Linked DNA regions of Tribolium castaneum. The protein of the gene in region 1 purifies or fractionates together with the protein of each later gene. This does not show direct contact. Links are inferred from orthologs where the notes say so. Each region holds a gene or a part of one and is shown in the gene's direction. Other genes may lie near its edges. The genes, in order: Roc2, Cul1 and Tusp.

Region 1 (7,045 bases):
GAAAGTTGTTAAAAATAATGATTATACAAAAAAATTCTCAGTTCCAAGAGAAGGAGAAAAAGCGCTACCAGGCCGAGCAGCAACGCTTCGAGCTGAAACACCAGCGCCAACTCGAAGAGCTCCGCGCAATGAGCGACGCCACCATCAAAGAGCTCGAACAACTCCAGAACGAAAAGCGTAAAATGCTCCTCGAACACGAAACGATGAAACTAAAGCAACGCGAAGAAGCATTCAGTCGCGAACTAAAAGAATGGAAAGCTCAACTCAAACCGCGAAAACAGGTAAGACACCAGCGCGCTATTGTTTTTTCTTCTGCAAGATTGTCTGCATGCACACTAATACCAATGCACGCTTTATAGAAACTCGAGGAGGAGATGCACACAGAGTTGGTAACGTCGGATTTCGTCAAATACTTACCAAAGTTGCATGTAACCGGACTAAGCACATCGTCATCAACCGATCAGGATATTCAATTCCCACTAACTACACCTAACACTCCCACATTTAGGGACTCGCCACCCACTTGGGGGCGGGTGCGGTCTTGGACCCACGGTGGCGGTAGTAGTAGCAGAGCCAGTGTTTTCCTTCCTTCGAATCCCGATGATGATTCTGCTGTTTAGATTGTGTTTTCGTTTGCTTGCTTGTACTAACTAACACCCGTTGTCTCCTCGTTTTTGTGTCGTAAATTGTGTAATTGTTTAGAAATTGGAAGAGGCGTTTGCCCAGCAGTTGGAAGAACAGGAAAGGGTTTATGGGCCGATCAGTACTCCTCTGGCTTTGCCTCCAGATTTGCCCGATCTGAGCCAGGAGAGTTGCAAGATCGGGATGGGGTCGACTAGGAGCAGTTTATCGTCGGTTTCGGAGGGATAGAACGCTTTAGGAAACAGTATACTCCAAAATGTGCCTCTGCAGATCCAGAGCGAGCATTGATTACCCTAACTCGTGTATATACTTATTACACAGACTGAATAATTAAGAAAATCGTATGAAACATTTTTTTCGTTTTGTTTCTTTTACTAGAGAGATTGAGGTGACCTGATAAGCTACTTAAATTTGGAAATTTCGAAAGGGAGAATTTTTTTCAGGTTGTTTACTGAAAACAAATAAACTATTGTTAGCTTGCTTGCTAAAACTAGACTAGTTTTACGTCGATCCTTTTTATTAAATTAAGATTAGAGGTGATTGAGGATTTAAAATTGTGTGCATTTATTAAAACCAGACTGACAGGTTACACTTGTTATTTTGTGAAATAATTAAGTTAGATTGTACTAATAGTTCAAAAGATTGTTATATCATGTTCGTAAGTAAGTTTTCTTTGTATTGAGGTATTATCTAACAATAAATACTGATTAATTATTATTTAACATAATAGATTGTATTGGGATTGTTTTTTGTTTACGCTTGCACTACTCCAGTCTGATGTATAAATACTATTATAGTCCATGTTATTTAAATACTGAAATTTTTATCAGCTGTATTCTAAGGTGTACATACAAATTCCATCTAACTTAAGTTTATTAGGACAGTGTGATAAGATTTTTATCGTCTTTTAGTTCTTTACTAACGTTTGCCACTATCATGCTGTTCTGTATTATTATGATGTACAGTCAGTGTATTTTATTTTTATGTGCATATTATTTACCAGTAACTATTATATTCAAATAAATAATATAAATAGAATTCGATTTAATCCTTCCACCTCAACTTTTCTGGGACATACTGTATATTAAAAAAAAGTAAGGTTAGGGTACGGTTTACCAACAAAAACGAAAATGGTTTTATTCGAACAAATAAGGCTGAAAAACTGCCGATTGTGTCACACAAAGCCCGGCCAACACGACATAAAAACAGACAAAAAATTAGTAAAAGAAATTTACGAATGCACAAAAGTGAAGGTGAAAAAAACTTGCCCAATTTGTAATTTATTAAAGAACTTTTTTGTAGGTAAATGATAAATCTATGGAGCTTTTGCCGCGTTCTGTGTGTGAGGAGTGCAAAAAAACCATAAAATGTTTTTCGCTTTACAAGCAACACATTCGCAAAGTGGATCAGTGTTTCAGAAGGATTTTAAAAAATTGCGAAGCCAAAAGTAAGGACACTAAAGAAGAAATCTTCAAGTGTGAACAATGTCCAGGGGAGTTCAGTGATCATGATTTATTTAAGAATCATTTAAATTCACACCAGATAAGTGTTAGTCAGGAGGAAATTAAAGCAGAAGTTTCGTGTCCGAAATGTGATAACAAGTTTTGTAACTTGGAGGAGTATGGGTCTCACAACTGTTTCACAGAAGAAGAAAATTCGCAACATGATAGTTTTGAAAATAAAATAGAAACAGAGGATTTGGAGGCGTTTAAAAAAGCCAAATTCGTTTGTAGTTGGAAGAATTGTAAAAAAATCCTCAGTTCCGCCTACACATTAAAAACGCATGAGCTCAAACATCAGGGGAAACGCTCGTTTTTGTGTGTAACTTGTGGTAACAATTATTTCTATTAACGCCCCACAAGTAAAAAATTATTACAGGCAAAGGCTTCATCACAAAAAATTCATTAACCTGCCACGAAAAAATACACCTGGAAGTGAAAGGTTACGTGTGTAAGCTCTGTAATCTTGGGTTTTCTGTGCGAAGTAATCTGAGGGCACATGAAAAAAAGCATCATGAAGGAGTCAGATTTTACTGCTCGCAGTGTTCCAGAGCATTTGCTTCAAAGTGCAGTTTGCAGAGGCACGAAAGAATTCACACAGGAATCAAGGAATTCAAGTGCCAGTCCTGCCCTTCGGCGTTCTATACCAAAAAAGAGCTCCTGAAGCACCAAAGGTACCATCAGGTGGGTATTTTTGTAATTTAGCGTGTTCTTGTTGGTGGCACTGTTACTAACGCGTCAAACGTCATCGCAAATATTGAGGTTACAATTAGGATAATAAATAACGCCCTTGGTTGATAACTGCCACCATGTCGAGTTCTATTGCCGACGAGAACGAGAACACCGAGCGCCTCGACGGCGAGGGAGCCAAGAGCGAGAAAATGTTCACTTTGAAAAAATGGAACGCTGTTGCAATGTGGAGCTGGGACGTGGAATGCGACACTTGTGCGATTTGTCGCGTGCAAGTGATGGACGCGTGTTTGCGGTGCCAAGCTGAGAGCAAAAAAGACTCGTACGGGAAGCAGGATTGCGTGGTGGTGTGGGGGGAGTGCAACCACTCGTTTCACTATTGTTGCATGTCTTTGTGGGTCAAGCAAAATAATCGCTGCCCGTTGTGTCAGCAAGAATGGTCCATCCAGAGGATGGGCAAATAATGATTTCGTGTACTTTTCAGGGTTTGCGCTTACATAAGTGTGACGAATGCTTTAAAACATTTTTCGAACGGCACCACCTGATCATCCATTTGAGGAGCCACACTGGGGAGAGGCCTTATGTATGCCAGTTTCCCAATTGTGGCAAGTCTTTCACGGAAAGTCAAAAACTAAAGAGGCATCATAATGCCAAACATGCCCAAACATAATTAATTGTATTTCCTTTTATTAATAAAATTGTAAAACAGAACTGGTTGTTTTATTTGTGGGAACTTTTGATTTCTGATGAGTTCGGTAGCAACTGTGTCAGGTTGGCCAACCGATGGTGTTTTTCCTTTGGCAGCTAAAAGTTACAGGTTATAGCTGTCATTGGTTTTGACTTTGTAGTAAGTATAATTATGTCTAGTCAAGAACAGAAAATAAATAATTTATTAGATCGATTAAGACAAGGAAACAATCCTCCACGCAATCTGCAAATGTCCGGTCAAAGTATCGCCAGAAATAATGGTGATGTTCCTCACAGTCGCCCGAGTCTCCCATGTAAGTTGTTTAATAAGTTAAGGGGGAAAATAAGAGCGATCTTTGGTTTTCCCAGTGGGCATGGTCCCCAGCCGGCCACGAGATTTATCTTTCACGCCAAGAAGCAGTGAAAATTTAGAGACTGATAGGAAGTTGAAAGAAATCATGAAAATTAGTGGTAACCTAACAATCAACAACAAACTATACGAAACTGATATAAAAGATATGGAAAGACTTGAAGAACTGGGCTTCGGGACCTGCGGTCACGTTATCAAAATGAGACACAAACTAAGTGGCGAAATCATAGCCGTCAAAGTAAACATCAAGGTCCAAAAATTAACACAATTTATTTCACGGGCTTCCATTTCAGCAAATGCGACGTTCGGGCAACAACGACGAAAACAAAAGGATTATTATGGACATTGAAGTGGTCCTAAAGTCACACGACTGTAAATATATAGTTCAATGTTTAGGCTGTTTTATAACCGATTCGGAAGTCTGGATATGCATGGAGCTCATGACTACGTGCTTTGATAAGTTACTAAAACGGTTAGGTAAACCGATACCTGAAGAAATCCTGGGTAAAGTTACAGTTGCTGTAAGTACACGTCTTCCTTTTCAAGCACCACGCTCACTGAACGTTACAGACTGTAGAGGCTTTATCGTATTTAAAAGATAAGCACGGTGTGATACATAGGGATGTAAAACCTTCAAATATTTTGATCGACACTAAAGGCCATATAAAATTGTGTGATTTTGGTATTAGTGGACGTTTGGTGGACTCAATGGCAAAAACTAGGAGCGCTGGGTGTGCTGCATATTTAGCTGTGAGTTTTTCCCCCACATTTATTTTTTTTCTAATTTTTTAATTTAGCCGGAACGCATTGAACCCGACCCTAAAAATCCCGACTATGACATACGTGCCGACGTTTGGTCATTAGGCATAACTCTAGTTGAATTAGCAACGGGGGTTTTCCCATATCCCAACTGTACAACCGATTTTGAAGTCCTAACCAAAGTGCTAGGACAAGATCCGCCAAGCTTACCTGAGACTTTTAGTCCGGAATTTAGGGAATTTGTTAAATTTTGGTAAGTATGGCACTGTGGGAGCCTAAAATAGGAGGCGACACACTGCTTTTATGCAAAGTAAGAATTTACGTAATAATTTACATGATTTGCTGATATTTCACGAAATATTTTTTGTGATTTGACTTCAATGAACGCGTTTTTCGCAAAATGAATCTCTAATAATATTAATAATAATAATCTTCAACACAAGATATACAGAAAATTGTAGTTAGGTGTAAAGAAATAAAGATATTTTCGAAAACAATATACATAATAATTTAAGACAATTTGTAACCGGGGTGATCTGTGGCTGTCGCCTCCTATTTAATTAACATTGAATCGTTAAGAGCCGGTCTTTAAACGTTGGTTTCAGTTTAATTAAAGATCAAAAACAGAGGCCTAAATATGCGAAACTGAAAAATTTGTCGTTTATTAAAAAGTACGAAGTAAAGCTGGTGAATGTGGGGGAGTGGGTGGTGAACGCACTTAAGGAGGCAGACGCTGTGGCGAATCCAACAGCGCCTAGGTATGTTGCATGGTTAGTTTCGATTTTGATTTATAATTTCTTTTACTTTAGTTTTTATTAATTGCTTGCTGTGTTTTCTGAGTGATTAATAAAGAAAGTGGTGGTTTTTATTAAAACCGTGCATGCGTTTACTAAGGTAACTAACAGTAAGTTTAACTTGACCAAGTTGCCCGTACTGTTATTTCCCGCACTGCTTAGTTTCGTTCAATTATAATCGAGTTTATTTTGGTTAGACCAAACCTCGCTCAGTCAACCTTACGTCGTTTTTTTACCTCGCATCAAAGGCAACAACCACCAAACACCCAACATCTTGCTCAATTCCTGACGAATATTACCAACGGCAACGCGCAATGTTCCTACAAACCGCTAAAACCGCCCGAACCTAAGAAGGAAGAACCGCCGGTTTATCAAAGTCTACCGCCGGAAGGTCGGCACAATTCACGTTTAAGCACATTCCAATTGAATCACCAAAGAAACGATAACCAAAGGACAGACGATTTATTGCCTCACCAAAGCGCCGAGCCCAACGATAGTCTTTTCAAAACCTACTCGCCCTTTAAAGCATATCAGAACCATCTGGCGGCGAAACAGCGCGAACAAGACGAGTTTCAAGGGGCGGGGGCGTCGCCCTACCCCGCCAGAAGGGCCCCCGAGAGCCACTGGCGCTCCCCAAGTGCCTCACCTTTGCCCCTTAGGTCGCAGTTTCAAAGCCAAGAACAATACAACTGTGGAAATACTAGTCCTATAATTTTACAAAGATTCTACCACCAACAAAAGCAGCAACAACTGGCGAAAGAAGCCGAAGAATCGGGTAAGAAATCTCCCACCCAACCTAAACCAAAATTAACGTTGCAATGTAGGAAAAAAACGATTTGCTTCCTACATCAAGTTGCAACTAAGCGGTGACCGGAGTGGAAGGTCGTCGAGGCACCAAAGCCCCGAGCCCCCACCCAGACTCAATAGGACCATCAGTAGCGAAAATCAAAGTCCTCTAGCGTTGCACCGGAATTTTTTAGAAACGAATTCGCCTAGTCTGTCGCGAAGGTAAGTGAATTTTCAGGCGGTCAAAAAAATATCGTATGTAACTCAGGTATATATCGCCAACGCCTCCGGTGCCTCCGCCACGACGTTTATCCGAAAGCACGTCAGTGCCAGGCTCTCCACAACATTTAAGGGCGCGATTTCACTACACGCCAGAGCCCCAAAGGCGGCTATTCCACAATAACGACGTCTCATAACATACAAAATTTAGAGTACTTAGAGAAAAAAACGCCAATTTTTAATATCGAAATTGCCTTCATAGCACTGCTGTTGGTGTGAAGCAGCTTGAAAAGATTTTCGCCGAAATGTGGCAAAAATATTCACGTTTTAATCGTCACTTACCATTATATTTACCGCCAATTTTTCACTGTTTTTCGGAAAATTGTGTCAATTTTATAAACATTTGAAACGCGCGTGTTGAAAGCGAATCGAAGACTGGCCATTGTATAATTTTTTCGAAAAAACTGAACTGTTTTTCTTATGAAAAACATTGAAAACAACTTATTGTGTTCATTCATTGTTGCGGGTTCTGATAGTTGCAACAGTTTGATTTAATTGCAATTTTATTGCCCATTTGTTCGAAGCGACAATTGACAAAA
Region 2 (7,496 bases), on another chromosome or scaffold:
CAGCGGGGCTCAAACAGATCGACCTGGATCAGATTTGGGGGGATTTGCACGCGGGGATCGAGCATGCATACAGCCAGCAGCACATGCCCAAGTACCTCTACATCCAGCTGTACACCCATGTTTATGACTACTGCACCTCGGTGCACCAGCAGGCCAATGGCAGGGGCTCCTCCAGCATCTCCACCAAGAACAAGAAGAGCCAGGTTGGGGGCGGCGCCCAGCTCGTGGGCCTCGAGCTCTACAAGAGGATCAGGGAGTTCCTGAGGAACTATCTGGTGACTCTGCTGAGTGTAAGCCTTTTGCATTCATTTTCGCCCAAAAAACGGGAAATATGACCGGAATTGTGCTACTAACGAAAGTACATGTTTTTGTTTCCAAGTTTTATGCACTGGGTCAGAATTAAATTTGTTAAACACAAGGATTTGCTCTACTGTTTATCTTACTCCTAATTAAAGAATTAACGAGAGAATTAAAGAGATGTGATGACTCTACCAAGGCTTTGGTTTTGCCGATTATTTTGTCTGTTCTACATTTATCTTAAAAAAAGTTACAATAGTAATGAGACATATGCATTGCATCATTGCTTAAAAGCACTTTGCTAGTTTTTAAGGATATTTTTCTATGTATTTGTTGTTTTTTATGTCATCCTTGTAGTTGAAATTTGGGGTTATTTACTTTTTCGAGTATAAATTTATTCAAAACTGGATATTTTTGTTACGGATAGAAGACATTATTATAATTTTTTTATATTTGTTCAAGTTTATTCAAATTGTAATAATTATATGATATTTAACTAAGGGTGGATTTTACAATCGTCAGATAAACGCCAGATAAGTTTAAATAGTTACAGTTTTTCAGAGATGCAAAAAATGTGCTTTTTTTTTTAAATGAACTGTGTATGCAGTTTATTCTCAATTTCTTAAATAATTCGACTCCTAGACTGTGTGTTTTAATTTGACTAGTTTTAATTTGATAGTTTTAATAAAAAAATGTTTTTGAACGTAAAAATTGCTATTTTTAATATCACTTCGATACATTTTCGAATTTTGATTTTACAATTTTTTACTTTAATTTTAATCTGTATTTATATTCTGCTTTGTGAAAGGTTTTGTTTAAAGGCTGCTTAGTTTTATTTACCTTAACTTTCTTAAACAATTAAATTAACACAAATTGTTGCGTTTTAGAACAATTTTTTGGTGGTGGTAAGTGGTATTTTTAAAGGAATGTTTCTAAAGTAGAATTATTGTCCATTTCAATAAGACTATTTTTTAGTTTTACATTTTTTTTAGTTAAATTTCAATCTGATTATGATTCTGTGTTTGTTCTAGAAGATTGTTTAAAACGGTTAATCTTATCTTATTATTTATCTTAATTTTCTTCAGTTTATTGATGGTGCTGGTAATATTTTGTGAAAATGATAACATTCTGATAACATTACAGCGTGAGCTAATTGTAGAAGAAACGTTTGTTTGCTCGTGGTGTGTGGGCGATTGCCACCGCCAGTTCCTTATCTCAAATGAATGAAAATTCATCTCAATAAATCACTCATTATTTTTGGTTTCCGTCCCAAAATAATTGGACGCAGTTCAAGAATGAAATGAGTTAAAATTTCAAAGGGAAGAATGTGCCAACAATTAATTTAGGACTAACGATCCTGAAATAACGAAAATCTAATGGATTGGATTTCACACAATCGAAACAAACCCCTCGCATCATAAAAATTGAATTTGTTGCGAGTTGAACGACCACGTATTTGAATATTTCATATTTTTATAATGGTATCAATTACGCAACGTTATCGATTCGCCACAGATAAAAAAAAATCTCGTTTCCAACAGTGTTTTAACGTTAATTATCTTGAATGTTGTTTGGTCACGAGCTATGGCAATGGCGCCACATTTACTTCCGCTTTATTACAAAATTTCGGTGCAAGAAAGTAAATACGTTTTTCGGTGAAAATTCAGGTCAGCGATTATTTCCAGCGAAAGTTCAAAGGGTCGACGGATAAGAAGTGCACTTGGCAATAACAAAATCGGGGAAAAATACCGAAAATTGCAGAATTGTTGTTTTTCCTTGAGTGACGTTTCGTGCTGTAATTACCGCAGTTGATGCAAGACTAATTTTCGGTTGAGGAAATTTTCCGGTGACGCTTAATTTATCGATCGAGGGAATATCTGTTTTTGATTAAAAAAAAAAAAACGAAATGCCAGTGTTAAAATATTAAGTGGAAGCGTGGAGAAAGTGTGACTGAATAATGCACGAAGGGATAACGAAAATTACAATTTTAAATTGGTCAAAGGATGAAGTTCACATTTTATCATCGTTATCTGTTGGAACGACTCGTAAATTAGTTGAGACGGTTCAGGTCGTGTTAATCGAGCGCGGAATAAGATTGTGAAACAAGAAATTGAATGAATCATGATTTTGACGCAATAATCGCCAGCAAATCTTGACAGTAATAAAAGCCTAGTCGTGAATTGTTTTGCTTTTTATGAACGAACAAGTTGGAAAAAATCTATGATGAAATTTACTAAAATCTAAAAAAAATATTCGTTGTTGTGGTTTAAATAAAATAAACTGAGCGATTTGAGACAAAATAATTTCTTTGGAATTTTTTTTTTGTAAAGACTACAATGTTTTACGTTTACATGCAAATTCCAGTTAAACTCTGTCATTAACCTTGGTTAAAAGGTAATTATAACAATACGTGTTATTTTTAAACCCACCTTAATGGAATCTCAATTCGAATAAGACACCAGAGAAAGATAAAAAATTCGAGTGAATTATTCAGTAATCTTATCTGTTTTAACTGTTTGGAAAAAAAAAAACGTACTGGACAAATATGAATATAATTTTATTAATTTATGAATCCACGTTTGCGAACCAACTGCGTTTTGTTGTTTCGATGCGTATTGTTTGGTCCGCCGCACAAATAAAAACACAATTAACGCAATAAAGGCGGAAACAGACATGTAGCAAAACAAGTTATTATTGACGTGATTTGATTATTGCGTAGTAATTTCGAAACCGGAAGATTTACAAATCAATTTTTTCATTTTTTTTTCTGTTAGGACGGGATGAATCGGATGGGTGAAGGCGTTTTGAAATTTTATACGCGTCAATGGGAGGAGTATCAGTTCAGTAGCAAGGTTCTGAATGGTATTTGCTCGTATTTGAATCGACATTGGGTGAAGAGAGAATGCGAAGAGGGAAGGAAAGGAATCTACGAAATTTATCAGCTCGCACTGGTGACATGGCGAGATCATCTGTTCAAACAATTAAACAAACAGGTTAGCCACAAATTCGCGCGGAAAACTATCAATATTTATGGGGAAGGGAAAAACGAGGGGTCATCTACGGCTCACTGTACTTTATTTAACTTCTTTTTTTTTTATTTAATTTAGAAGGTGAGAACAGTTTCAAAATTATCCAAAAAGAACCGAAAAGTCGGCTAATTCAGCAGAAGGCGATTTTGATGAAAGCTTTAATAAATTTCAAAAATATATTTATAATCTCGGAGAGTATGAGTAGCTGAAGATCTGGAGCCTTTAGGAAGATTTGACATTTTGAATTTGAAAGATTACACTCCACATGAAGGTCAAAAAAACATTTAAATTTAACCCACTATTGACTCACCCTGTATGTGAATTTTCTCATATTTTTTCTACAATTTCTTAAAATTAATAAATTAATATTAAGGGCTGGTTTGCCTGAATGTTTTTGGTTACAATTTAATGTGAGATCATCCAACTTTTTGGAGGATTTTTTGAGGCTAGCTACAATGTTTTCTACGTAATTTTGACATAAATCAAAATTTGAAATATTTTTTTCAGTCGCTTACGATTAATTAATTTGTTTTGATTGCGTATAAGGAACTTGTAAAAATTTTGAAAAGATTTACTTGCATAGAGAAAAACAGGCATTTAATGTGTGTTTATAATTTTTTGCGATACGGTAAAAATAAACTTATTTTAGCCCACTTACGCTAGCTAATCTGGTATGGAAAAATCCTCAGAAAAATGAAATAAAAAAAATACTTCTGAGGTAATAAATAGAATTATATTAATTTTAAAAGTTTTGTTTTTGCTTTCGTTTTAAATTAGTAAATATTGAGAGTTTGCAAGCCCCTATCCGGGGCTGTCGTTTTTATTTTTCTCCCCCGTTCAAACCAGGTAACAACTGCCGTTCTGAAACTGATCGAACGCGAGCGCAACGGCGAAACAATCAACACTCGTTTAGTCTCTGGCGTGATAAACTGTTACGTGGAATTGGGCCTAAACGAGGAGGAACCAGGGGCCAAAGGACCGAACCTATCGGTGTACAAAGAGAGTTTCGAAAACATGTTTCTGGAAGACACTGAACGCTTCTACCTAAAAGAGAGTAACAACTTCCTAGCACAAAATCCGGTCACTGAATACATGAAAAAGGCCGAACAACGTCTCCTCGAAGAACAGAAACGCGTCCAAGTCTATCTACACGAAACAACAAGCGGCCGTTTAGCCAAAACCTGCGAAAGAGTCCTCATTAAAAAGCACCTCGACATGTTCCATTCGGAGTTCCAGCAGTTGTTGGACGCCGACAAAGACGAGGATTTGGGTCGGATGTACTCGTTGGTAGCGCGGATTCCGGACGGTTTAGGGGAATTACGGACGCTTCTCGAGCAACATATCGCAGCTCAGGGGCTCTCAGCGATTGAAAAATGCGGAGAAAGCGCCCATAATGTAACTAACTGTTACTACAACTCCCAGTTTTTAATAACCTGTATTTAGGACCCGAAAATTTACGTCAACACGATTCTGGAGGTGCACAAGAAGTACAACGCTCTTGTTTTGGTGGCGTTCAACAACGATAGCGGTTTTGTGGCGGCTTTGGACAAGGCATGTGGTCGTTTCATCAACGCCAATGCCGTTACCAAAAAAGCCAATTCGAGCAGCAAATCGCCGGAATTGCTCGCGAAATACTGTGATTTGCTGCTGAAGAAGTCGAGCAAGAATCCGGAGGAGGCGGAGCTCGAAGATACGTTAAACCAAGTCGTATGTAACGAGGTTTTGTTTTGGGTGGGGTTTTGATTGTGTTTTCAGATGGTTGTGTTCAAATATATCGAAGATAAGGACGTTTTTCAAAAGTTCTACAGTAAAATGCTGGCCAAGCGATTGGTCCAGCACATGTCGGCGAGTGACGATGCTGAAGCTTCAATGATCTCAAAACTGAAACAGGCATGCGGGTTTGAGTACACCTCCAAGTTGCAAAGGATGTTCCAGGCAAGTTGGTACAATTGGTTTTTAATTGGTCATTGATGACCCCGAGAATGAATGATTTTCTATTAATAAACAATTTGCGTTAATACGAGACATTTATAAACGATTTTCTGCACATTTATCATATCGATAAACAAACAATCAACGGAAATGCGAATTTAAACATAATTTTTTGCAAAGTGACTTTGGTTATACGCATTTCTTCCGTTTTTCATGACTGACTTCAAGGCCTGCTCTCCTTTTGGAGATTTCAGTGGTAACTTTGAACTGAAGGCGACTTTCTTTTTGTCTTGCTAAATTTCCAAGTTTTTGGCTAAAAATTTAATTTTTTCAACTTTTTATTTGACAATTTCCAAAAAATACAAATTGAACTTTAAATTTTTTTCTTGTTTTTTGTACGTTTTTCACTCAGAAATGCTTCTTTTTGCGAAAGTCCTCCGGAATAAGCCGAAAATTCATTAAAATAAGTCGGGAGATCTCAAATGATTATTATGAAATAATTTTGAAATTTCAAATGCTAAAAAATATTAAAAGTCACTACTTTAATGACGGTTTATGTTGCCATTTTTGGGCCATTTTATCGTTAATTCTTTCGAAAAACAGCCTTGAAAGCGTTGATTTTGGCGTAATCTGTATTTTTTTAGGACATTGGCGTGTCTAAAGATCTGAACGAGCAATTCAAAAGTCATCTATTAAAATCAAACGAAACCCTAGACATAGATTTTAGTATTCAAGTGTTATCTTCCGGATCATGGCCTTTCCAGCAATCTTTCACCTTCGGATTGCCGACCGAGGTGCGTTTTTTGCTTGTTGTAGGGTTGGGAGATAAATTGTACGTTTGCAGCTTGAAAGAAGTGTTCATAGATTTACAAATTTCTATTCCGGTCAGCATTCGGGCCGGAAATTAAATTGGCTGTATAACATGTCGAAAGGAGAGTTACACACGAACTGTTTTAAAAATAGATACACACTCCAAGCTAGTACGTTTCAAATGGCTGTGCTGCTCCAGTTCAACGTGTCTGAAAGTTGGACAATAGCTCAACTCGAGGAGAATACACAAATCAAAACAGATTTCCTAATACAGGTCATACAGATATTACTTAAAGCGAAGCTGATCACTTGCGATGATGACGAGAACGAGCTCGCGCCACACTCGGTTGTGAACCTTTTCCTAGGATATAAAAAGTGAGTTTACGCGCCAGGGGTGTCCCCCGATTTGAGTTTTTCTTCCAGTAAAAAACTTCGGGTCAATATCAATATTCCGATGAAGACCGAGCTAAAGATGGAGCAAGAAACAACTCACAAGCATATTGAAGAGGACAGGAAGTTGCTGATTCAAGCCGCGATTGTACGAATCATGAAAATGAGGAAAATACTGAAACATCAACAGTTGGTGGCTGAAGTTTTGAACCAGTTGTCGTCAAGGTTCAAGCCGAGGGTTCACATCATCAAGGTGATGATATTTCTCGTATTAGTTGTGTGTTTGATTTGTGTTTTGTTGCAGAAATGCATAGATATTCTGATCGAGAAGGAGTATCTGGAGAGGACTGAGGGTCAGAAGGACACCTACAGCTACTTGGCATGATTCAGCAAACGCAACTGTCACCCAACTGTCTTTGATTAACAACCGGCGGAGTCAACGAGTGGCTTGTATATTGTAAATATTCGAAAAATAAATTGTACTTTAAGTGATATGCTATACTAAAAAATACACAACTGTATTTATGTTTTGATTGAATTGTCCTAGAACTGTCAATCTGAGTTCTGGCGCTCTCTTGATATTCCTTTGAATTTTTGTTTTAATTCTGCTTTTACTTTATTAATTGTATAGAATCTGTTTATTTGTATTACTATGTGAAAAGAATACGAATGTAATTTAATTCACCGATTTTAAATAAATTGTTTTGACAAATTGCTGTTTGAGTTAACGCCACTTTAACACACATTGGAATACGATTATCAAAAAAACATAAATAAAACTATGAATAATTTATTTATTATTTTATTCTATATTAAATTGATGATACACCTTTGTTAATAGGAAAATGAAAAAATGAGAAAAATATCACAGTTGGCTGAATAATTTGACTTCGCGCCACCTTTCGGTGTGCTAGTGCAACATGCAATGACAAGTTCACAAAGGTTTCTTGAACTCGATTTTACAAAATATTGACACAGATTAGAGGTTATCTTGCTTTAATCTGTGACCATCGATAAAGACAAACCAACCCTTGAAAC
Region 3 (8,026 bases), on another chromosome or scaffold:
ATTTTTTTGTTGATTTTGTAAGTTTGTCAAGCTTATAGTTTTATGTGAATCACCCTGTAATTTAAACAATGTGTAAAATAGTTTTTGCCTTTTATGAACTAAAGAAAACCAAACAGGACAACGGAAAACAATTTAAAAATATGAAAAATAATATACAGGGTGTATCAGAAATACGTGTATTAATTTTACCACGTAATACAACTCACCAAATACAACAACTTTTCTACAGGGTGCTCAACTCAGTGGTACGTTGTTGAGAAGCATGTCTAGATTACGAAAAAAATCTCAAAAAAAATCCTTAAGTCATATTTTAAAAAATCTACAAATTTATTTTGTTAACTTCTTCAATTTTTATTATTTTTTAATGTTTTTATGTTTTATTTTTATGTTTATTTTTTAATTTACTATCAGACTTTAGCAGTTTTTGAATTAAAAAAATTGAAATTCATCAAAAAAAAATCACAATTTGTAGATGTGCCAACACCGGTAATTATTTCCTAGGAAACTGTTTCAAAAATAATTAATTTTTATTGTTGATTAATTTTTTTTGCGATCACGACTCTTAGACAACGTTGCCACATATTATCAATAACTTTTAGAAAAATAATTTTTTTACTATTTTTACCTTTATATGTAAACAATTCTCTACCACACTCCATTGAGTTGGTGCGCCGCTTTTTGAGCACCCGGTATATAACGTTTTGCCAAATTTTTATTAATAATTTTTACTGTTTTTCTCCTTTTTTTTGTGCAAACGAGCCGGTCAGTGTTTAATAATAATAATAATTTTCATTGTTTTAAATTGTTTAAATTATCCGTTTCTGTCACTACGAAAATAATTCGGCTCTTTTATTTTTGTATCCATAGGCAGGTACACGTTTTAGTGCGTTACCTTTTTCCAAATTTTAAGTAAATTTGCGAATTTTTTATTGAAAATTTACAAATAGAAAAAATGTTTTATTTGTTGAGTTCTGTTGCCTGTTAAAATTGAGACACGTATTTCTGATACATCCTGTATTTAAGTCCAGTTATAACACAAAAAATACACTCACATTAACGTGAGTTTATTTTCCAATTTGTATAATTTTTTAATTGAATTGTTTCTTATTATTTTTTTAATGGATGATAAAATGTCATTGTGTAGGCATTTGACAATTAGTTTATTAAAATTGAATAATAATGACAGAAAATTGTAATGGTAAATTTTTCTAAACAAATGAGTTTAATTAAAAATAGTGTTGAAAAAAATTTAGTTATTTCCTGTTTAAAACGTTAAACTTAAAACTGTCTTGTGTATAAGGACATCTCAGAAGTAAAATCTACAATTTTTTTTCAAAAAATTTTACGTTTTTCCAAATTTTAAGGGTATTTTTTAAGTAAATTTTAGGTTTTTTGTGGCAAAAAATTGAGTTATTTCCTAGCATGAGTCATTAGTGTTCGCCACTTTATGGTTCGTTAGCGCTCATATTAGAGAAAAATCAACTAATGGATGTTTTAGGGTTTTTTAGGTCAATAATAATTTCATTCGCATCAAGTTTATCATTTAACGATTTAAAATTTCGTTGGATTTTTCGGGAAAATAATATGTATTTAAAAAATTGCTTAAAAGGTGTTTTAATTATTTAAATAATTCAAAATAGGATACAACTGCTTTGGCAATAGTAGATTTTGTAAAAAAATCCAATTAACACGACTAAAAATTTGTTTGACGTTTTAAATCAATACAAAAACCCATTTTTAAATTAAACCTGGCACGTTATTTCTCGTTGTGATAAAGTTCAATACGGTGTTAATTAAATAAGCACGGAAAAATTTGAAATCAAGTTTTGATATCACAAATATTGTTGTTTTAATAATTTTGAAAATTGCTGATCCACAAGTCTAAATATATCGTTGATTTTAATTGCTTTAGTTCGAGCTTGATGAGGGTGTAAAATAAGACGCCACGTGCACTTTCCACTTTCGCTGTGAAATATCGAATTTCATGGCAATTTCTTTAGCCATTAATGATTTATCTTGCACCGTTATTATTTTTCAACTTGACGCAAAAGACGACACCTCGCCATCATATAATGATTGAAGTGCTCGGACAATAATCTATTTATAAATTTTTATCTAGGTCGTAAGATATATAATGTAATCATAAGGGTGATGAGTTTGTCGCACCCTAACCATTGTCCCGAATTATCGAAATTGAAAACGAAATTATAAGGAAGTGAAACAACAACTATTCTCCTGCGAATTGTCTCGGAAAGAAATGATTGATTCTTTGTTATGACGGGTGTAAATAAAATATGAGCCTCCCTAATTCCCGTATTAGGTCGGATTTAGCTGAGAGCGGGTGGATTTGTTCCAAGAAAAACAATTTCAAATGATTTGATTTTTCACGTCCTTGATTGGTGTCGTAAAAAACACATTAGAAGGAATGTTTCGTGAAATGAATGACTTATGATGACTATTGATTTTTTCTAAATTTCGCGAAATGTTGTTCTTTGACTGAAATAATTTCCATGGGTTTTTTTCTCGTCTATCATTTATTAAAAAAAACAGGAAACCTATAAATCAATAAAAGTAAAATAATGACAACATAAAGCAATATCTACGAAGTATTGTTCAGAACCTTGAATGCTTAAAAATTGTAGAATATATTGTTTAATGTGATTCTTGCTTCTACAACAGTGAAACATTTTTTTCGAGGTTTTGTAGATTTTGTGCTTTGGCTAAAAAAATACATTTCTCTTTGCAACTAAATAGACATATCGTCGGACGTTTTGCTTTGGGGAATTGAAGGTTCATTACGGATTAAAGACGCTGTCAAACATTATTAGGGGCGCGAATTTGCGAGTCGAATACTTTCAGTGGCATTGACTCGGGTTAGGACCCCTATTTCAACTTTGAAGGCTTCACAGCTTTGGATCAAGGACATTAAAACAAAACATACAGGGTGCGACTTAAAGGTGGTAAACCAAAGTTATATTTTTTTAAATAGAACACCCTATATATTGTTGCATGATTAGATTCTACGCAAAAAAATAATGTAACTTTATATAAACTATTATGTGTCTATCTCTTTTCGTTTCGAAATTATTCAATTTTTCCTTGTAGAAAAGACCAACTTTTGAAAAATCGCTGCAAAGTCGCCTATGAATATTTTCCGGTAAATTTGCAACAGAAAAATTTAGAATATCCTGTATTTTTATGAAATAGTCGACTTTTACTTGAAACACGGAAATAATGTACAGGGTGTGCCAAAACGCAAAAAGTTGAATAACTCATTTTTTTAATAGAACACCATGTATTTCTTTACACGTATCGATAGCATTTTTCATAAGCTTTCTATTGATATACGGTTTTTATAGCAAATTTACAATATTTCTTAAAGTGTTCAAAAAAATAAAAAAATTATTTTTTATTTATTTTATTAATAATTATTGATGAGTGAAATTAATTTATGTATCAGGTAATAATTAGATTACTTGTGTAATTAGTCACATTAGTACATGTCAAAAAATTAATCAGATTCTAGGGTAACACTGTATTGTAATAAAATATATTTTTTTCAAAAATCTCGAAAAAAATTTTAAATTTGCTATGGAAACTCCATACCGTTAGGACGCTTATCAAAAATGCTTTCAATACATTTAATAAAATACAGGGTGTTCCATTTGAAAAAAAAGAGTTATTCAACTTTTTGTTTTGGCACTCTGTATATTATCTGCGTGTTTTAACTAAAAGTCGACTATTAGCTAAAACTACAAGGTATTCTAAGTTTTTCTGTTGCAAATTTTTCGGAAAATAGGTCTTTTTTATAACGAAAAGTTGAATAATTCCAAAACGAAAAAGATAGACTCATAATAGTTTATATAAAGCTACATTATTTTTTTGCGTAGAATCTAATTATGCACAAATATATTGGGTGTTCCGTTTAAAACATTTTTTGTTTGTGGACTTCAAATAGTAGAAAAACTATAGACCGATTACACACCGCTGGGTCACCCTGTATTTTCCGTTGGAGACACAACACCCCATAAACAAACTCAGCTAAGCAATTACACACTACCCACACTTGTACAAATTTCCTCCCAGACCAAGCAATTACTGGACAAAAGAAGACGTTTCCACCCTTATCCACAACCCTCTTATCGAGAGAATAAATTGATCGGTATTTTTATCAAACCGTAGTTTCGAGCACTTAATCAAGCTCCAAACTCACCCTCTTCGTAAGTTAGAAGTTAGTTTGCATTACAAACGCCTAAGTGCAGGTATTCGGGCTCTTTTATATGTGAAATTACATTATTCACAAGTCAGGAACGTAAACACGTTACACAGAGGGTTGCAAAATCGATTTTTCGTACGGTATATAAAATACAGCGAGTTGCAATTAAGAGGAAAAATTGAGATGAGTGCGTTTGCGTGACGTGGAGCGTTTAGTTTTGGGAAATAATGGACGGGATGGAAAAGCAATAAATTTCCTAAAGAGGTTTTATAGGAAGTCATGTTTTTAGTCAGTTGAGAAAAAAAATACAAAAAGTTAGTTTTTGTAAAAAATGGTGGATGCGCCGGGATAGAAATATAGCTTTAAATTTAAACGCTTACAAATTACATTTATTGCGGTAAACTTACGGTAATCAAAACCGAACATTTGATTTTGAATTCTGGCAAAAGCTGGTACTAGTTATTAGCTCATATCTCTGAAAAAGTTTCGCAAGTTTGGCTTTTATTCGGAATCAAGGCACAGTTTCGGTTTAACGTTCCACTTGTGAATATGAAAGGCCGTTATCTAGGCCAAAGTTGGCGGAAAGTGAGGAGAATTTTCATTTCGTTTTATTAGAAAACGTGTCGGAAATCGCACCAGCCTTACACTTTAATAAATTGATAAGTCCTTGGCTCTGGAAATTATCCAATCTTGCATTAATTATTGCAAGGTCCGTATTTAGCGGAAATTACCAATCAGTTTGGTCCACTCCTTCGAAATTGGAATCGACAGCTCGGAAATAGCAAATTACTATCTATCGACAAATTTTCTCCTAGATTAGAAGAATCAAAGTTTAAAGCTCAGCGTTGTTTCAGGACGAAGGATGGAAACTGAACAGGACAAATTACTATCAGGAAGGTTGGCTGGCTACAGGCAACGTTAGGGGTATCGTTGGGGTGACTTTTACAACGTCGCATTGTAAGAAAAACGTTGAATTTCCGCTCAGGACGAACTATAATTTGAGGGGACATCGATCCGAGGTAAAAATAACGTTTTAAAGTGCATTCGACCGACACAACAAGTGTTTTTTTGAAACTTAATTTGTGATTTTTTCTTACAAAGCTAGAGCTCATGTAATAATTTCACTTTAAAGCGATTTTTAGCGTGACATTTGAAGTATCTTTGCTTAAAATCAATGTGAGTGAGATTAGAGTCGTCGGTGCTGTAACACTTTCTGTACTTAAATTAAATCAATAGATTTGTTACCAAGGGAACGTTAATATCAAAAAACGAAATTTACTACTAGTCACATAATACGTTCAATTTTTATTACCATATTATTGCGTTTATTTATTTACCATCGATTTGAATAAAGCTGATTGAATAATAAATTAGTGAAGATTACTCGACGGTCGTGGAGGAACAGTGAAGATTTATAGTGGCTTATTCTCTAACGAAACAAGGTCACTTTCTATCAGTAAATATTTATCAAAATTTACCAACCCACAAAAAAATTTGTTGCGTTTACGAAGTTGGTAAAGAATATTCGCACCGGTTTTTAGTATCGCATAAAGTGCACGATGATGCGAATTTTATTTCTTAATATAATTGTATTGATCGGTGTTCAGCAATGCGAAAACATAAATCACTTTCAGTTTTCGAGGCAAATTATCACACGACATCGATTTGCATTAAAATTGCAGGATCTTCGTGGAAATGACAGGATGTGTGATCTATGATCGCGTGTGGGGTTTTGTGCGGAAGCTCATTTTGCAAGATTTTTGACTTTTAGCCCAGTCGAATTAGACAAATCGGGGGAAAAAATTTCTAGAGAGTTTGAATTTTTTTACTTGGGTCGCTAAAAAGTATGGATACAGTTAAATATTATAAAAACTATTCATTAAAACTTATTAAAATTTGGTATGTGCTTAAGAGTATATAAATTATATCGTTTCAGATGTTTATTAAATTTCTATCTTTATTTGTTACAAGGATACAAGACTAACTTGATTTTTTTAAATAGTAACAAGGGTCAAATTTAATATTTTTGAGAAAAGCATTTTTTTTCTGAGTTTTGTGGTATAACACATGCATACCTTAGTTTAATCAAAACTTAAAAAAAATCAAAAATTTTGAAAAATGTAAATCTTGTTAGCCTTGGAAATGTTGTCTTTATCTATCGTTAGCTCATTAACCAAAAAATAAGTAAAAGTTAAAATAATTGTTAAAATAACACTTTTAACGTTTTAATTAAGAAATTTTAAACACGGAATACTTGATTTTTATGCTACAAACGATGTTCAAACTGATTTCCACTAACTTCTTGGCTTTCTGTCTCCATGATAAACCAACATGAGATTTTTTTCGCTCAGTTTTACTTAAATGTACTATTATTAAACTAATTATTGCACCCAAGTTTAATTTTTGGCTAATAAACAAGTGACAGACATCACTATAACAGTATTTTCAAAGCTAACTTAGTTTTACTATTCCAGAAAATTTTTGAATTTTTATTTTTTTACATTTTAATAAAAGTAAAGGTGGGTATCATGTTACATCATTGAATTCAGAAAAAAATTCTTTTTTGAAAATGATTAAATTTGATTCTTCGTGCTGTTTAAAAAAATTAAGTTAGCCTTGAATTTTTAAAATAAATGACGATAAAAATTTGAAAAAGCTCTCAGATGATAGAATTTAAACACTTTTAACTGTTCCCAAATTTCAAGGTTTTCTGTTAAACCGTTCTGAAAATATTTAACTGTATCCATACTTTTTAGTGACTCTGTATCCAGCAAAAAAATCACTCAAAATTTAATTTAATAATTTAAAATTTAATATAATCTTTTGATAACTGCTTTGGTGCTTAGGTAATCCTTGTAAAATGGAACGAGCCGTACCAGAAGCTCGCCTCCTGCGACAGCTCTGGCATAATCTTCGTCTGGATCAAGTACGAGGGTCGCTGGTCAATCGAGCTAATAAACGACCGCAACACTCCCGTGACCCATTTCTCGTGGTCCCACGACGGCCGAATGGCCCTCATCTGCTACCAGGACGGCTTCGTCCTTGTCGGTTCCGTCGCCGGACAGCGCTACTGGTCCTCGATGTTGAACCTGGAGGCGACCATCACTTGCGGCATCTGGACACCCGACGACCAACAAGTCTACTTCGGCACCACCTCCGGCCAAATCATCGTCATGGACGTGCATGGGGCGATGGTATCGCAAGTCCAGCTCAGTTCAGAGGTGGGTATCACGTCCATGGCGTGGTCGTGCGAAAAATTCAAGATGGAAGAAGGCGATGAGAATGACCCGGGAGTGGCGAACGCCGGCGAAAGGAAGTTTGTGTTGGCGGTGTGTTTGCAGAATGGGTTCATTTTCCTGCTGAAGACGTTCGATGACGTGTCGCCGATTCAGATTGATACGGGGATGCAAGGACCCTTGTGCATGGAATGGAGTAATTCGAGGGAGTTGTTGGCGGTGGCGGGCGTCGCTTTCGACAACAAAAGCGCCGGAGTTCAAGTGGAGTACACCAATTTGCTGAAGTTTTATAACGAGAAAGGCGTTTTGTTGTATTCGGCCTGCGTTCCGTTCACACAGGTAAAAGTACGGTGTTAACACGATTCAAAATAATAGTCTCATTTTTTAGGCCCCAGTGTCGGCCCTAACTTGGGGCCACAACGACAAAAGGCTGTTTCTTGCCACCGGCACCCAAATTCACATCGCTTGGGTGTCGCGTAGAATTGCAACGCTTCAGTTACTTTGCCGGTTGCGAATTCACGATTCTATCCAACAGGAAAGCCAACTACCTGCCTTGCCCTTACCGGCTCGAATA

What was found.
Region 2: the proteins of Roc2 (region 1) and Cul1 purify together in Homo sapiens (affinity purification with western blotting; 5 studies listed by BioGRID). This does not show direct contact. The link is inferred for Tribolium castaneum from reciprocal best matches to the Homo sapiens genes RNF7 and CUL1.
Region 3: the proteins of Roc2 (region 1) and Tusp purify together in Homo sapiens (co-immunoprecipitation; 3 studies listed by BioGRID and IntAct, with this or other methods). This does not show direct contact. The link is inferred for Tribolium castaneum from reciprocal best matches to the Homo sapiens genes RNF7 and TULP4.

What each region holds. Positions count from the first base shown.
Region 1 is NC_087397.1:2,862,292-2,869,336, forward strand, and holds Roc2 (RING-box protein 2), read left to right. Parts: upstream 1-2,838; 5' UTR 2,839-2,950; coding exon 2,951-3,295; 3' UTR 3,296-3,542; downstream 3,543-7,045. Other genes in the region: Slik (STE20-like serine/threonine-protein kinase), read left to right, coding at 42-281, 703-870; dual specificity mitogen-activated protein kinase kinase 7, read left to right, coding at 3,769-3,832, 3,888-4,126, 4,182-4,409, 4,459-4,638, 4,686-4,900, 5,253-5,405, 5,639-6,216, 6,266-6,449 and 1 more. UniProt on the Homo sapiens protein: Catalytic component of multiple cullin-5-RING E3 ubiquitin-protein ligase complexes (ECS complexes), which mediate the ubiquitination and subsequent proteasomal degradation of target proteins.
Region 2 is NC_087396.1:22,569,942-22,577,437, reverse strand, and holds the end of Cul1 (cullin-1), read left to right. Parts: coding exon 1-290; intron 291-3,071; coding exon 3,072-3,290; intron 3,291-4,172; coding exon 4,173-4,721; intron 4,722-4,769; coding exon 4,770-5,033; intron 5,034-5,081; coding exon 5,082-5,261; intron 5,262-5,902; coding exon 5,903-6,052; intron 6,053-6,102; coding exon 6,103-6,443; intron 6,444-6,491; coding exon 6,492-6,711; intron 6,712-6,762; coding exon 6,763-6,843; 3' UTR 6,844-7,170; downstream 7,171-7,496. UniProt on the Homo sapiens protein: Core component of multiple cullin-RING-based SCF (SKP1-CUL1-F-box protein) E3 ubiquitin-protein ligase complexes, which mediate the ubiquitination of proteins involved in cell cycle progression, signal transduction and transcription.
Region 3 is NC_087400.1:573,587-581,612, reverse strand, and holds part of Tusp (tubby-related protein 4), read left to right. Parts: intron 1-5,070; coding exon 5,071-5,235; intron 5,236-7,062; coding exon 7,063-7,791; intron 7,792-7,840; coding exon 7,841-8,026. UniProt on the Homo sapiens protein: May be a substrate-recognition component of a SCF-like ECS (Elongin-Cullin-SOCS-box protein) E3 ubiquitin ligase complex which mediates the ubiquitination and subsequent proteasomal degradation of target proteins.